2 linked regions of the Stegostoma tigrinum genome follow. The protein of the gene in region 2 interacts with the protein of the main gene of each other region in a biochemical or structural test. Links are inferred from orthologs where the notes say so. Each region holds a gene or a part of one and is shown on either strand. Other genes may lie near its edges.

Evidence for each region.
Region 1: the proteins of lamina-associated polypeptide 2, isoforms beta/delta/epsilon/gamma-like (region 2) and lmnb1 form a complex in vitro, tested with the Homo sapiens proteins (2 studies listed by BioGRID). The link is inferred for Stegostoma tigrinum from reciprocal best matches to the Homo sapiens genes TMPO and LMNB1.

Annotation. Positions count from the first base shown.
Region 1 is NC_081356.1:68,866,371-68,874,789, forward strand, and holds the start of lmnb1 (lamin-B1), read right to left. Parts: upstream 3,166-8,419; 5' UTR 2,733-3,165; coding exon 2,374-2,732; intron 1-2,373. UniProt on the Homo sapiens protein: Lamins are intermediate filament proteins that assemble into a filamentous meshwork, and which constitute the major components of the nuclear lamina, a fibrous layer on the nucleoplasmic side of the inner nuclear membrane.
Region 2 is NC_081378.1:53,061,423-53,068,926, reverse strand, and holds the start of lamina-associated polypeptide 2, isoforms beta/delta/epsilon/gamma-like, read right to left. Parts: upstream 3,343-7,504; 5' UTR 3,275-3,342; coding exon 3,044-3,274; intron 1-3,043. UniProt on the Homo sapiens protein: May help direct the assembly of the nuclear lamina and thereby help maintain the structural organization of the nuclear envelope. Possible receptor for attachment of lamin filaments to the inner nuclear membrane.

The DNA of each region.
Region 1 (8,419 bases), on a different chromosome or scaffold from region 2:
GCAGTGGGGCATTCAAGGATGGTGGTTAGATTTTCTCTTATTGGAAATGGTTATTGCCTGGCACATGCACCATGAATCTTACTTGTACTTTCGATTCAAGCCTCAGTGTTGCCCAGGTCTTGCTGTATTTGTGATTAAGGCTGAGATAAACAGGTCTTGGAATCAGTCAGAGAATTGAGGGTTAATTTGGGAAAGGACTGGAAAGTAGAATGGGTGATGATCAATGCAGCCCTGATTTCATAAGAGCAGAAGTAAGCCATGTGGTCTTCCAGAGCGCTCAACTTTTCCACCTTGGAAAGAAAGAGGAACAGTTTAAAATTTCAGGGACTGTGGAAATGTTCAGACTATCCACCGTTGGCAAAGAGGCTGCTATCGTGGTCACCTTGCACCTTCTCACTTTAAAGGCAACATTATCAGGGCTGCTTCAACATCAAGCTATGACACCACGCAGCAAGCTATCCAAGCAGACTTCAAATGACTCTGAGATAATGGGATTCTCCAGCATCTGCAGTTCCAAGATAATAGTGCGAAGCTGGATGAACACAGCAGGCCAAGCAGCATCTCAGGAGCACAAAAGCTGACGTTTCAGGCCTAGACCTCAGAGGATGACGAAGGGTCTAGGCCCGAAACGTCAGCTTTTGTGCTCCTGAGATGCTGCTTGGCCTGCTGTGTTCATCCAGCTTCGCACTTTATTATCTTCAAATGTCTCCCTTCGTTTTATCTCAGACCTTAAAATTAATGTCAAAAAGGCGATTCCATACAACAAAGGATGATTTTTCACCTTCATATCGTAAATCACAAGTGTAAGCATACTCAACCGCACTAGAGCGTGGAAAAAAATTGAATCATTTATGAAATAATTGATAGATGCATTAACGAAGCTACCATGTATCCAACAACCGCCCTTAGTTGTAAACAATTTCTGATCAGTTGTTGCAAACAAACATCGCACAGAAACTTACCTGCGGGGGGTGGAGAGAATAATGATCTATGACCGAGCACAGTAAACAGGGGAATCTAAGTAAGAGCGCCTGGAGATTTCACGAAAATCTATTTCTTGCCACTGTTAACACAAAAAAATGGAGAATGTGGTGGCGATGACGGGTGGTGTCGCGGAAGTTGTGAATAATGTATATAAAGATAATATTAAAAGTGACACTTTTTAAAAAAATACTTGTAGATGCGGTCACCCTTACAGCACGCCTCCCTCAGAGGGTGATAAAGCTTCTTTATTCCTATCAGGCTATACACATTCTCGGCTACTACCCTTCGAACCCGCATAGCGCAATAAAACGAGAAATGTTACAATGTAACCTTACGTGCGGCATAGTTCTCTGGGGGATATTTATGGAAAGTTCTCATTCAATTGGTTTCGGAGGCACCCAGCCTGCGGCTGAACGGAGCCGCTCTTTGTTTGCACAGCGGCGCTTCCACGCGTTGGATGGCTATTGTCCAATACCAACTCATCACTACCCCCCCCCCCACGTCAAAACACACCCCCCAGTGAACAAAAATAAATAAATGTTTACTATGGAACTCGAACTACTTCGCCATTTTAACAGTACAAACACAAATCGAATCTATGATGTAGTATTCGAAGAGCTGAGATTTTAGGGATCCCTTCCCCCACACCAAAAAGAAAAGATAGTAGAAAGCGCCAGAGCCTTCAGCCCATATAAGGGCAGCCTGTGTAATAACTTGACAGACGGGTCCATTCAACCAGCGCCAATTACAACTGGTATGTAATTAGAGATAAGAAACAATTCCTATATAAAACCGTGGACGCTGGCTTTAAAGATTCAGATTTCACAGGCTAGAAAATATATCACTTAAAACCATAACAAATTGCTGTTTGAGATGTCGAAGACTCAGACACCATCTGTCCAATGGTTTATTGGAAAAAGATGGGAGTCTGGGCATTGTTTTTTTTAAAAAAAGCTGTTCAGTACAAACCGACCAACTCTACATCAAGGAATTCCCTAGGAACTTGCCGCAGATATTCGTCCGAGTACCCAATCACTCCTTATGAAAATACGATACGGTAAAATTATACAAACACAATGAACTTAGTGCCTCTAAAAGGACAGGCTAGTCTACTTAAAACGGAAAAATCTCAAATCACTACCGTCAATAAAGTAATTTTAAAACGTCCATCGGTAACAAACAAACCGCACAAATCCAGTAATATTTTCCCCTCGACACTAGTTCGATACTAGAATTTAAATGAAGCTCACATACACATTTTAATCCACATGTACGCCAATAGGAGTACACATCGCTAACGTGAACTCCTAAAGTAAACATTTATCCGCCTTAAAAAAATTACACTTTACCATCGAAGAGGTGTGCACCCCAAATTTCAGTCAGCCTTACTTTTGCTGCACGTTGTCGTAGTCCCCGCGGAGTTTCCCCAGCTCTATCTGCAACCGCGCTCTCTCTTTCGCAGTCTCGTCCAGAGATTGGCGAGCGTCCGCCAGCTCATTCTCGTACAGGTTCCGGATGCCGGTCAACTCTCGGCTGGTCACTTCTTCCCTCTCGGTGATTTGCAACTGCAGGATACTGTTCTCGGACTCCAGCGAGCGTACCTTTTCGATGTATACGGCGAGCCTGTCGTTGAGGTTCTTCAGTTCCTCTTTCTCCTGCAGCCGGGAAATGCGGGTCGGACTGAGCGGGGAGCTGGCTGCACTCCGGCCGCTTGGACGCGGCTGGCTCCTTGGAGTAGCCGTCGCCATAACTTCCAGTCAGTGGTTTTTGTTTAAACTTTATTTTGTAAATAAAAACTAAAGCAAACAAATGAAGTGAACGCGCAATGTTTTTCTTCCTCAAACAAAATAACCAAAGCAATGCGAGAAGCGCGAGCACCTGATTTTCCTTTCCCCTTGTTCTGTGCTCGCGCTTCTCTTGCACGATCACTAGCTCCCGCTGTTAAAATGGCTCCTGGATTTGGTGTTGGAGACACACAACGTGACTATCTGCAGGGGCCAATTGTACCGCGAGACTAGACCGGTCCTTAAACACCGTCCACTGTAAAGTTTCCCAAGTATTAATTTTCCAATGTAAATCACCGTATAGCTGCAACATGTTCTCCGCTTATGACTTAAATAAGGCCAAATGCATCCGTTGAGAATTAGTTAACCAGGAATTACAGTTGTTTGATCGTGGAGAGGTTTTGTTTCTCAGAATCCGTGTTGCTGCGGTGCAGCGATAATTGTAGATGTGATGATGCTTATATTGAATGATATGACCCATGTATCGCATCATATTGAACTGCTCTCCGTATTAGGAGAATATTGTAATAGGTTGACTGGAGGGTGAAAGAAGTTGAATGGATTAGTCGAATTGTTTTATTAAACATGACTTAAGGTTCGGAATTTATGAGATTTTGTTATTTGAACAGCTTCTCGTTTATATTTATCGTGCTGACGAAAATCGATAAACCGTTAAGGTTGTATGTGCATAAATCTTTCGTGAACAGGGATTTCACCATATGGTGAACGCGTACAGCTTCGATGATAAAAAGGTAAATGGTACAGCATATTGGTAAACAATTGTTTATTTTCACAAGAACACGAGTGATCTGAAAACAGAAAGATCTGGAAATGCTCAGCAGGTCAATGGAGAAACGAGGAAGCAGTTTACATTTTTTAGTCTAAAACTGTTCGACTTCTAATGAGGTTCATTGCACTGTTTGAGTAGTGGGAGATAAATCATAAGACGGCCATAAAACCATAGAAGCTGGAGTAGGTCTTTCAGCTTGGTGAGTCTGCTCTGCCATTCTTGGCTGGTCTGATAATCCTCAACTCCACTTTACAGCCTTTTCTCTGTAACCCTTGATTCCATGACTGATTAGGAATCTCAGGCCTCTGGGTTAAAAAATTCCATAAATTCACTATTCTCTGAGAGAAGAATCTCTCCTCATCTCTGTTTTAAAAGGGAATCCTTTCTTTTGAGATTATGACCTCTGGTCCTGGATTCTCCCATAGAAAACACAACCCTTCACATCAAGTTCCCCAAAAATCTTGAATGTTTCAGTCAGGACACTTCTCATTCTTTTAAACTTTAGAGAATTCAGGCCCAGCCTACTCAACCTCTCCCCATAAGATGGTCCCTCCAAAGCTGGGATCACCTAACAAGCCTTCTCTAGACTACCTCCAATGCCAGTGTATCTTTCCTTAGATAAAACTGTTCACAATATTCCACCTGTTATCTGAATAGTACCTTATATAGTTTTAGCAAGATTTTTACACTCCAGAATAGGTATCATATGCGTTCCCTATTGTTCCACCACTAGTACTTCCAGTTACCTTAGCTCTAAGCTCTGAAATTTCCTCTTCTTTCCACTCATATTTCCAATCCTCTTTCTTTCTTTCTTTAAAATTCTTATTAATGCCAAGCTTTTGGCCATCTGATCTCATACATGACCTTATGTGACTGTATCTTTATTTTATCATTCTCCTGTGAAGTACCTTGGAACTTTTCATGATGTTAGAGATGTTGTATAGATGTAGGATGTTAGAAGTCATGGATATATAGATATAGTGTATTCAATTTTTTTGTATGGGACAATCTCCTCATACCAGAGTCAGTCTAATTAACCTACGGTGCACTGCCTCTAAGACAAATCCATCCTTCCTCGGATAGGAAACCAAAATTACACATTAATACACTTGCTGACTGACCAAGGTCCTATACAATTGCAGTAAGGCTTTTCTGCTTTTATACTCCAATCCCTTGCAATAAAGGTGTTTTCATATTTTCATTTGCTTTCCTCATGACTTGCTGTACCTACACGTTAACTTCCTGTGATTTTTGTAGAAGCGCACACTGGTCCCACTGAATATTATTAGCATTTACCAGTTTCTCAACTTAAATCTACTTTTCCACTTTTCCAGCCAAAGGAGGTCATTTCACACTTGTCACAAAATAATCCATCTGTCTTTTCTTGGCTTTTGACTTTTTACATATATACAGAAGATTATAAAGCAAGTCCACAATTTAAGACATCTTGCTTAACATATTTTTGTTTTGATGTTTTTTATTCTTTGGGCTTTTTTTGTTTTGCATTGCCATTTTCATTTTAACATCATTTGTGTGTGCTGTTGCTGTAAGATTTCGGGGTGCACTTTAACTTGAATTACAAGACGTCAGTCAATTACAATTATTGACTGGCTCTCTCAAATTTAGTCTTAAAGAACTGAATACTTACAAGTCCTATTCCAAGTACAAATATGTTTTCACAAGTTTTAAAGAATTTATTAAGCTTTTGATAACCAGTACATAAGAAATAGTAGTTAATAAACAGTAAATTTATAGTCAATCCAGTTTAGAATACCACTTTGTGACATGGGTTAACTGGGCACAGGCCTCTCATTCTGTTTTGTTGACTGAAATTCTCCTTCTGCCTTTTAGCTTCTTATGAATTGAACCATTAAAACGCAGTCCTAACCCTGGCTCTACATGATCTGAGGCATTCTAAACTCTAATTGGCTCACTAGATTAGATTCCCTACAGTGTGGAAACAGGCTGTTCGGCCCAACAAGTCCACTCTGCCCTTTGAAGCATCCCACCCAGGCCCATTCCCCTATATCCCACACACCCTTGAACACTATGGGCAATTTAGCGTGGCTGATCCACCTAACCTACACATCTTTGTACTGTGGGAGGAAACTGGAGCACCTGGAGGAAACCCACACAGACACAGGAAGAATATGCACACTCCACATAGTCGCCCAAGGCTGGAATTGAACCTTGGTCCCTGGTACTGTGAGGCTGCAATGCTAACCACTGAGCCACTGTGCCACCCCATTGATTAGTACATGAACATCTCATGGTCAGTATTGAATTGGCTAGGTACTATCTGCCTTATTCCTGAATGATTTATTTTGAAGCAATGGTCAACTTACTGGTATCACTTCCAATAGTAATGTGATTCATTCTTTCACATCAATTATTTTGCAAGATCACCCCTTTTATAACAGCTTGTCTCTCTTAGTTTACTAACTCCATAGATCTTTACCAAGACGTGCTGGAATCAATGAACAATGTGTGCATTTGCTTAGATTTTGTCACCCTTTAGTGATTAATCATCATTCCCGTTGTTCGAAATGACACATATACATAGTTCAGATGCACGTACACACACATATATACTCAATATGGTTGTTACACACTTTGTTACCTAACTAAGCCACTTTAAAACATAACTATATTTGATAAAAAGCCATTTACTTCAAAACATTCCCATACATGTTATGCTAAGTTTATATTAACTGAAACAGTAAAATAATAACAAAACCATGATCAATTATCTCAGTTTTGAACAGTGACATATGGCTTTCTTTATGAAATATATTCCCTAACCATCCATAATTAAATAACATATAGTTCCTCACCTGATTTAAAAAGTCAAACATAGAAACATGAACATAGAAACATAGACAGGAGCAGGAGAAGGCCATTTGGCCATTCGAGCCTGCTCCACCATTCAGCACGACCATGGCTGATCAACCAACTCAATAGCCTAATCCTTCTTTCTCTCCATAACTTTTGATCCCATTTGCTCCAAGTGCTATATCTAGTCACCTCTTGAATACACATAATGTTTGACATCAACTACTTCCTGTGTTAATGAATTCAACAGGCTCACCATTCTTTGTGTGAAGAAATGTCTCCTCATCTCCACCCTAAATTGTCTACTCCAAATTCTCATACTGTGACCCTGATTCTGGACACTGTCATCATCAGGAACATCCTCCTTGCATCCTCCTTGTCCAGTTCTGTTAGAATTTTATAAGTCTCTATGAGATACCCCTCATTCGTCTGAACTCTAGCGAAAACAATCCAAACCTCGTCAAGAAGAGATAGTAAGAACTGCCAATGCTGGAGTCAGAAGTAACACAGTATAGAGCTGGTGGAATACAGCAGGCCAGGCAGCATCAGAGGTGCAGGAAAGTTGACGTTTTGAGTCAGGACCCGTCTACTTAGCACCAACAATTTAGTCAGTACATCTTCTTTAGTGATTGTGAGTTTCCTTAGTTCATCCTTCTGTACCAATTCCTGAAGCTCTCCTTGAAGTGCAGCAGTATTGATGCTAATGACCGGGATAAGTTCTTACCAATTGTGCATGATAGCAATAACTTGTCCATCCAACTGGGTCATTCTTTCAGTCTTAACACTTACTGTTAGTAATTGGGCAGGTGGCAGTAGATAAGGAATGAGAAAAAAGAAAACCCTGTACTCAGGATCTTGCTATCTGTTGGGATAGCTTGACGCATGTGCCCAAAGATCTACAGGTTGAAATGGACCTGTTTGGTCATATAGCAGAAACTTGTGATCCTGTGTCGGCATCATCGTCAATTGAGAAGGGGTGAGGTCCAAAACCAGAAGCCATAAGTATATTTTACTCAATAATAAATCCAATAAATAATTTACAAGAAACTTCTTACTCAGACAGTAAAGAAAATGTGGAACTTGCAAACATAGAACAGTTGAGACAAATAACTTGGTGCATTTAAGCGAAAGTTCGATATTGACATAATGGAAATTGATGCATATAATAATCTGGTCAGATGAAATAAAGTGGGTGGAAGCTCATATGGAGCACAAACATGTGAGCTTCAAACTCTGTGACGAACCTCACATGGAAGAGTGGCATGGTGCCTCAAGTGATTAGCACTGCTGCCTCACAGTGCTAGAGATCCAGGTTTGATTCCAGCCTTGGGTGACCATCTGTATGGAATTTGCATGTTCTCCCTGTGTCTGTGTGGGTTTCCTCTGGGTGCTCCAGTTTCTTCCCATAGTCCAAACATGTACAGGTTCAGTGGATCGGCCATGCTAAATTGATCCATAGTGTCCGGGGATGTGCAGATTAGGTGGATTAGCTATGGTAAATGTGGGATTACAAGGATAAGGTGGGGGGAGGAACGGCACTTGATCTGGGTGGAATGCTGTTCGGGTGGTTGGAGCAGACTTGACTAACTGAACGGCCTCTATTTGCAATGCAGGAATTCTGATTCTATGTGCAATGGGTAGTACTTGGAGTATTGGAGATTTATGCCCTTTCTTCAGTACTTTGACTTCAACTCTAAAAATTCTTAATCAATTCTTTTGGAGTGTTTGCTGACTCCCTGACTGAACCTTTTTTGTTTTGGTTGGTAATACAGATACTCCCATGGGTCAGCAGCAATGACTGGAAAACATCCCTAAAGTAGTTATGCTATCGAGCTGGAAGAGACGTGCCACAGCTAAGTTCCAAGTAGGGCAGTTGTTTTGGGATTCTGGGGTCAGCCATGCACATGGTATATACTGCCAGCGGAGCTGATTTTGAGCCATTAGCACTTCAATACTGGGCATGTTGACTTAGGAGAAAACGCCGCTGTTGGATCACATCTTTTGCCATCATATTTGAAGAATGTTGTGA
Region 2 (7,504 bases):
ATGAAAAATAGTCATTTAGCTCGGAATTTTAAAACTCCCTCAAATGTGTTTCCTTTTTTCACCTTCAGCAGGCAATAAAGATAAAACAGGTGTTAAAATGACTGCAATTCTTTATTTCTAGAAAATCTGACGGTCTACTTCTTTGAAAAATAGAGTCAAAAACCCAGATTTTGCTGTCAGACTTATAATTTGAGTCAAGAGAAACAAACGAGGTAGCTGAATAATTGTTTATTGCTCAGGTGATGGTCGAAGGGATAAATGTAGCTGTTTATGGCTGAGGACAATAATTTAATAATTGGAAGCCTTTGAGTACTGCCCTGCCCCCAGATTAGGAGTTACACATTTGTTGCAAAGAATAGGAAATTACTGAAAGATAACTGGCAAAAAAAAATTCAATTTTCAATCTACAAACAGGAAGATAGTGAGTGTTGGCTTCTACTGGCAAGTTATAATTTTTATTCAAAGCAGCTTCAAGGCAAAATATCCTTGCACTGAATTTGTTAGTAACATTTATCAATGCAGTTTGAAGGTAATTTAGCGGAATCAACAACTGTAAAAACTTTAGCAAGTCACAGCAAAACTTCAAACTAGGAAGTAACATTTCAAAACCAGCTGCATTATGACAACATCTGGTCTTGGGCAACAGTTCATCACATGCAGCTTTTTACCAGAAACTTCTGTCAGAGACACAGTGGAGTACATCGAACAACAGTCCAGCCATTCCCCTGGAAAGAGTTACAATCTGCATCTGAAGTGACCATATTTCTAAATGTGATCCAGCTAAAAAACAAAAGTGGGAAAGTAGAATTGAGCTTTATGTTGTGCTTTGATCTCATGGAATGATGGAAAAGGGTTATATGGCTTATCCCTGCTCCTATTTCTTATCTACTAAAATTCTCAAAACTCCAGCATACTATTCATCAGCTCTACCAGTTGGTTACAGCTGTTAGATTCAAATTCAGTTGAAGTTTACCATTAAGAAATGAGATAAATAGTGAAACTAGGATTGCAGCTGAATAACAACACCTATTAAGAACCGGCTTTAACTTAGTGTTAGTCAATAGAAATATACATAGGAGGCATAGATAAGGAGACAGTTTTAGAGATGGGCATTGATTTGAGTGGACGCCTTACAAACAGACACAACACAGTAATTGTGTATCACACGCACTGAAATAGTCATAAACAGTCTAAAAGAAAAAGAAGATTGGGATTGCCATAACACAAGAAAAAAAGACAGGCTCTCTAGACATGCACCTGACAGGGTCAACCATATCTCATGTACGTAGACAAAATCTAACTGCCAATAAAAGTGACTTGATAGCCAAATCCATTGACTGGGCAGCGAGTGGGCTTGACAGGGCAGGTACAGAGAAGTTGTTTCCCAATGTAGGACAGTCTATAGTCAGAGGGCTTAATCTCGGAGTCAGATGTCAGCCATTTAAGACAAATACAGGGAGGGTGTTTCCTCAAAGGGAACTCTAGCCATGAATTCCTTACCGCAGAAAGCTGCAGAGGCTGTGTTATTAATATTCAAAAGCTCACATTATTGGATTTTTATTCAGTAAGGGAATCAAGTGTAATGGGGAAAATGGCAGGAGAGTGAAGTTGAGAATTATGAGATCAGCCATGATTGCCCTAAATGGAGAAGCGAACTCAGCTGGTTGAATGGTCTTCTTTTATTCTTACCTCTAAAAATCTTATGAAGATGACATAGTTGTCAAATGTGAGAAGTCATGAATGCTTACACTAAATGTGACATCTTTGAAGCATCAACTATTAGAAGTGTAATTCATCCTTTAACTTGAAATAGTCTTCATTTGCTAATGTTTAAATTCTGTCAATTTTAGTCAGTGTACTCCAGTGAAAGTTGCCCAGCAGTTTTCCTTCTGTAGGTATCCTTCTTTGAAAAAGTTGTCAGTCTCCAAGGAAATCATAACTAAAATGTGACAGTGAGGCCATAGAGGACTTGAATGCAGGATGAGAATTTTGACATCATAATGGTTATATGAAAGCCAGAAGCCTACAAGAGATGAGCACAAAAATGATGGATGAGCAGGAAATGAGAGTCACGTGGGAACACGAAATGAAACAACTGAAAAATATGCTCTGGGTATGGCAAAAAATATGAATGGAACCAGGAGAGTCCTAACTAGTTGAATAATAGTCGAGTGACATTCAATAATGTTCGGGTGTCAGGCTGAATGACAGATAGTTCCTCATATTCCACTTCTGGAACTAATGGCGACATTTCCGCCTAGCTGTCCTGAAGCTGACAACCATTGTCCATGTTTTCCATGGATGGGTGAAATCTGGGATTTCACCACTTGGGTCAGTTATTGGGTCACGGTTGGTGATATTTGCAGTCAATGTGCCGCAATGAGAAGCGGGACTGAATGCTGTGGGTATGTATGCTTCCTAACTGTGAAATGGGAAAGGCAAGTTAAACAAAAGATTAACTGAACCTGTGTGAATAAAAGCAAAATAGCGAAGATACTGGAATTGTGGAGCAAAAAGAATGTTGGAGAATGTTGCAGGTCTGGTGGTATCTATGGACAGAGGAACTGAGTTAACATTGTCACAAGTTCTGAAGAAGTCAATGTATTCCTTCAAAAGATTCAGTTCTGAAGTGGACAGCAAATGCTAACATTATTTCTCTCCGCGATGTGGAGATGTGCAGGTTCGGTGGATTTGCTATGTTAAACTGCCCACAGTATCTAGGATGGGAAATACAGGGACAGGGTATAGACTGGGATGCTCTTCAGAGGGTCGGTGTGGACTTGAGGGGCCAAATAGCCTGCTTCCACACTGCAGGGATTCTAACAAAAATTCTACGCAGAGTTTCACCATCACTTTCCGTTTATGTTTGAAGAGTTTCGCCTGTGGAGTTGGTTTTTGGTTTTCACACATGAACGGAAGTTGAGTAAATTGGCGCCACTTTCTGATTCTGATGGAGCGTTCATAAACATTGAGCGGGGACTTGGGGAGAAAGGGATGGAGGGCTTACTAATGTCCCAGGCCACCCACTCCCTGGCTTTCTCACCTTGCCTGCTCGGCCCCGGCCTCGGGTTGCCCCCAGTCCGCTGTCCGCCTCCTCATCGCTGGAGAAGTCCGTGCCGCGGCCGCTGTTCCGCGCCGTCAGGTGCTGAAGGTAAAGCTGGACGTAGACATCTTTGCGCTGGTCCCCGAGCGGCAGCTGCACGCTGTGGGCGATCAGCTCACTCTTCAACCGCTCTTTGGTCAGCACCGACGGGTCCTGCAGATACTCGGGCATCGCGGCTCGAGCTCCCTCTAGGCCTCACAACTCCCGCTCTGCCACCCACCAACAACGCGGGCCGTCATTGGCCCTGGGGCCGCACTAACACGTTCCCCAATTGGATAGAGGGAGTAACTGGGTGGGGCTGTAACCCAGGGTAACGGGTCAGGCGGGAAGAAGGAGGGTGATCCTGGCCATGGTCCACATTGTCTTCCTCACAGCTCCACAGGATGCAGGACAGCTTCTCATTTCCTCAAAGCAGTCTGCGCTAAACCTTCTCTCAGCTTCTTCCATCAGAGACACACAAAAAACTGCAAATGATGGAATCTAAGCTGGACAAACAGGAGGCTGGAAGAGCACAGCAAGACAGGCAGCATATGAAGGAAAGGAGCAGGCAACCTTTCGGGTATTACCCTTCTTCAGGACTGGATGTGGGGGTAGGAGGAGCTGCAGATAAAGAGAGGGGTTAACGGTGTGGTGGTGTGGCAGCGAGAAATGGGACTCACTGAGTTCATGTCTGAGGCAAGGAGAAAACTCCTTCAAAGTGGGCATCCTTTGAAGAGGTTTCACAGTGGTATAAACTTGATTAGCGACCACACGTAGACTGTCTCACCAAGCATCTACGCCTGGCCTGTAACAGCCAACCTAACCTCCCGGTCACCGCTCATTTCATTCCCCTCCCACTCTCCATCCTCAGCCTCCTCCAGTGTCACAAGTAACTCAGAACACAAATTTGAGCAACAACATTTTATCTTCTGCTGGGTACCGTGGAAGACTCAAAATTGAGTTCTCCAATTTCAAATAACCTTCCCACCCAGCGCACATCCTCCCTTTCATCCCAGCTACTGACCCTCCCTTCTAGCCACCAACTGGATTCACCTGTACCTACTATGTGTCCACTTATCTGCAACATTCCGCTACCTCCCCTCCTACACTTCTCCCTTTATCTGCAGCTCCCCCTAACCCCACATCCACTTCTGAAGAAGGATAATACCCGAAGGGTATTTCTCCTTTTCTCCAGATGCTGCCTGTCTTGCTGCGTTCTTTCAGCACCCTGTTTGTCTGTCTTAGTTTTTTCCATTGCATTAACACCTTTCCTTAGATAAAGTGACCAATACTTACACAATACTCCATATATGGTCTTACCAGTACCCTGAATAACTGAAGTATAAACTCATTACTTTGTATGTTCAATTCCCCTTGGAATAAACAAGCGCTTTCCTTGTTATTTGTAGTAAATTATGTCTTTTTTGGAATATAAAAGGCTTTTAAAATGTCTTTGAATGCCTTTAGGCTGCCAGTGGAATTCCTTAGAGAGCCTCTTTGAAGGATCACATATAGATGCAATGATTAGAGATTTGTGACAGCAATGAATTCAGTTTTTGGGGTGCAGTGGTTCTCACAGCTGGGCAGGAAGGGAGTGCAGTAGTAGTGAGCTGTCAGTGCATTGATGTTTTCTGTCATATGCTGTTATATGTTTTGGAACCTTGATGTACATAAATTGTTACTTGTGCTGGTTTGGTCTGTTTCACCATACAGATTTCAAGCCAGTGGATGTCAGTCTTATAGCACATAATGCTGTTTCTGGTTTGAAATGCCAGCCATGGACAAACATTCTTAAATCCCACAGTTAAGCTGGCATTGAGATTGGCACATATGATGATCATTGAACCTGGGATCAGGAAGAACTACAGAAGCAGTTCTGAGGAAAGGTCACCCGGACCCGAAACATTAACTCTGTTTTCTCCTCCACTGATGCTGCCAGACCTGCTGAGCTTTTCCAGCAACTTTGTTTTTGCACAAGAAGCAGGGAGCTGGAAGGCTGGCTTGACCCAGCATCATTGAGTGTTCTTCAGCTCTTCAGCCCTCGTGAAATTTCCCCTACCATGTCTGGATCCAATGACATCTCATATTGAATGTTTGAAGGTTTTTCCAGCTTGATACCAAATTTAGTATGAGGTGTTACTAAAATAAAAAAAGTAGAAAAAATATTGTAAACAGTTGACAAATGCTGGCTTCCCTTCTTCAATACAAAACATCTCCTTAAGTCCCTCTCTCCTGTCTTCTCCACCCTCACTTCCATCGTGTGTGAAGAACTAACTCAGATCTGAGTCATTTGATCTGTTCAGTAGCTTCTTCCCTAGGTAGACCAATGTCATTTGGACCATGTTAGTTTCCAGTCTTTTGGGAGCTGTGTTAGTCATTGCTTCTGAATGCATGAACTATGCATTCCCATATTGGAGCAGCTCAAATCTTAAGTTTAGTTTAATTTTAACCACTCTCTTTAAAAAGCAATAACACTTCAGCATCACACTCCAGTGTCAGTGACCAGTGTCACTTGCCAATGCCCATGTCCAGGGTTCAGTTTTCTGTCCAAAGTCAGCAACTAGTGCCTGGAGTCAGCGACTAAGGTCTAGTTTTCTGTCCAGTTTCAGTTACCCAAATCCTGAGGTTGCAGTTCTTATCATGGGGGAGAAATTCCTACAGGAGGCGAACGTGAGACTACAGCTAATTGAATAAAACAAATCAGAGCAATATAAAATAGGCAAATACCTGTTCAATGAACAATTTTGAGATGTATAGAATGCATGCAGCACTTAAGTAATGAAACACGTCATTCCATATATAGATGATGTAGTTTATATAAAAACGATGACCCCGACGTGATTCGAACACGCAGCCTTCTGATCTGGAGTCAGACGCGCTACCGTTGCGCCACGAGGTCTGAGAATCCTGCTCTGGGAAATCTTCTTAAAGCTGCAGCTCGCAGTGCATTTTTTTTACTGTTAATTCAGCTGCGAACCTGCTTGGTCCTGGTACTGACGGTGGCCCACGCCTCAGCCCGTGGTACCTGCTTCCCGGGGTCGCCCCCACCCACAGCGTGCGCCCACTCGGGGCCCACCACCCATACCCTTGTGACACTGCAGCACCACCTTCTGGGCGGGAGTGGGAATGGCAGCCAATACCGTCTACTGCCCTCCAGAAGGTTTAGGTGTCCTTTCAGCTGTCACATGTCGTCCTGCTCCTGATGTCGAAACTTTTCATTTCCTTTGCTTTGTTATAAAGCTTCATCGAGAATGCTGATACTTGTTGCCTGTCACTAATTGAAGAGACTCCTTTAGCTACTGCATCTGTAGCGATTGTAACGAATTCAGCCAGGTGGAGCATTTTTTGCTTTGATTTATTATTGTCACATGTACCTAGTTATGGACAGGTAAAATTTTGTTTTGCAAGCTGGCTGTGAGAAATCTGGATCAGTGTAAAAATTTCTCCACGTGCAAATAAAGGGTGACTTGGTGACGGGATAGCAGCCTCTTTGGAATGGCGATTATTGGCTTCCCATGATAGAGCTGCTTTCATCCTTCTAACTTGCAGGTCAAGTGAATACTATCCTGAGTTTTGGCACAATTCTTCAGTTATTCTCATCCTGAGAGGACTTGTGATTTTGGTCCCACTCCTCACCTCCATGTAGTGGATGGTGGGAGACTGGCCACTCAGGAGGCAAGCTTGATGTCTGAAGATGCCAGTGAGAGATAGGAAATCATCTGGAGAGGGTGCAGAGGGGATTTACCAGGAAGTTGCCTGGGCTAGAAAGTTTCAGTTATGAAGAGTGATTGGACAGACTGTGATTGTTTACATTGGAACAGAGGAAATTGAGAGCATAAACAGGGTGTATGGGAATAAACATCTCCCCTTGGAGCGATCAATGACCCAGGGCACAGATTTATGTTAAGGGTCAAAAGACTTTGAGGAGATGAGGGTGGTCAGAATCTGGAACACACTGCCTGTAAGAAGCAGTAACCCTCATAACATTTAAGGTGCAGTCTCATAGTTCATTGAAAGTGGAATCGCAGGTAGACAGGGTGGTGGAGGAGGCATTTGGCACGCTTGCCTCTGTTGGTCAGTGTAGGAGTTGGCATGTCATATTGTGGCTATACAGGCCACTGTTGGAATACTGTGTGCAATTCTGGTCTCCCTGCTATAGGAAGGATGTTGTAAAACTTGAAAGGGCTTGGAAAAGATTTACAAGGATATTGCCAGGGTTGGAGGCTTTGAGCAAAAGGGAGACGCTGAATAGGCTGGGGCCGTTTTCCCTGGATTGTCAAAGGCTGAAGGGTGACCTTGTAAAGGTTTAGAAAGCCAAGAAAGAAGTAAATAGGGTGAATCGCAAACTTTTTTATCCAAGGATAGGTGAGTTCAAAACGAGACTCAAGGCTTAAGGTAGAGGGATAAGATTTTTAAAAGGGA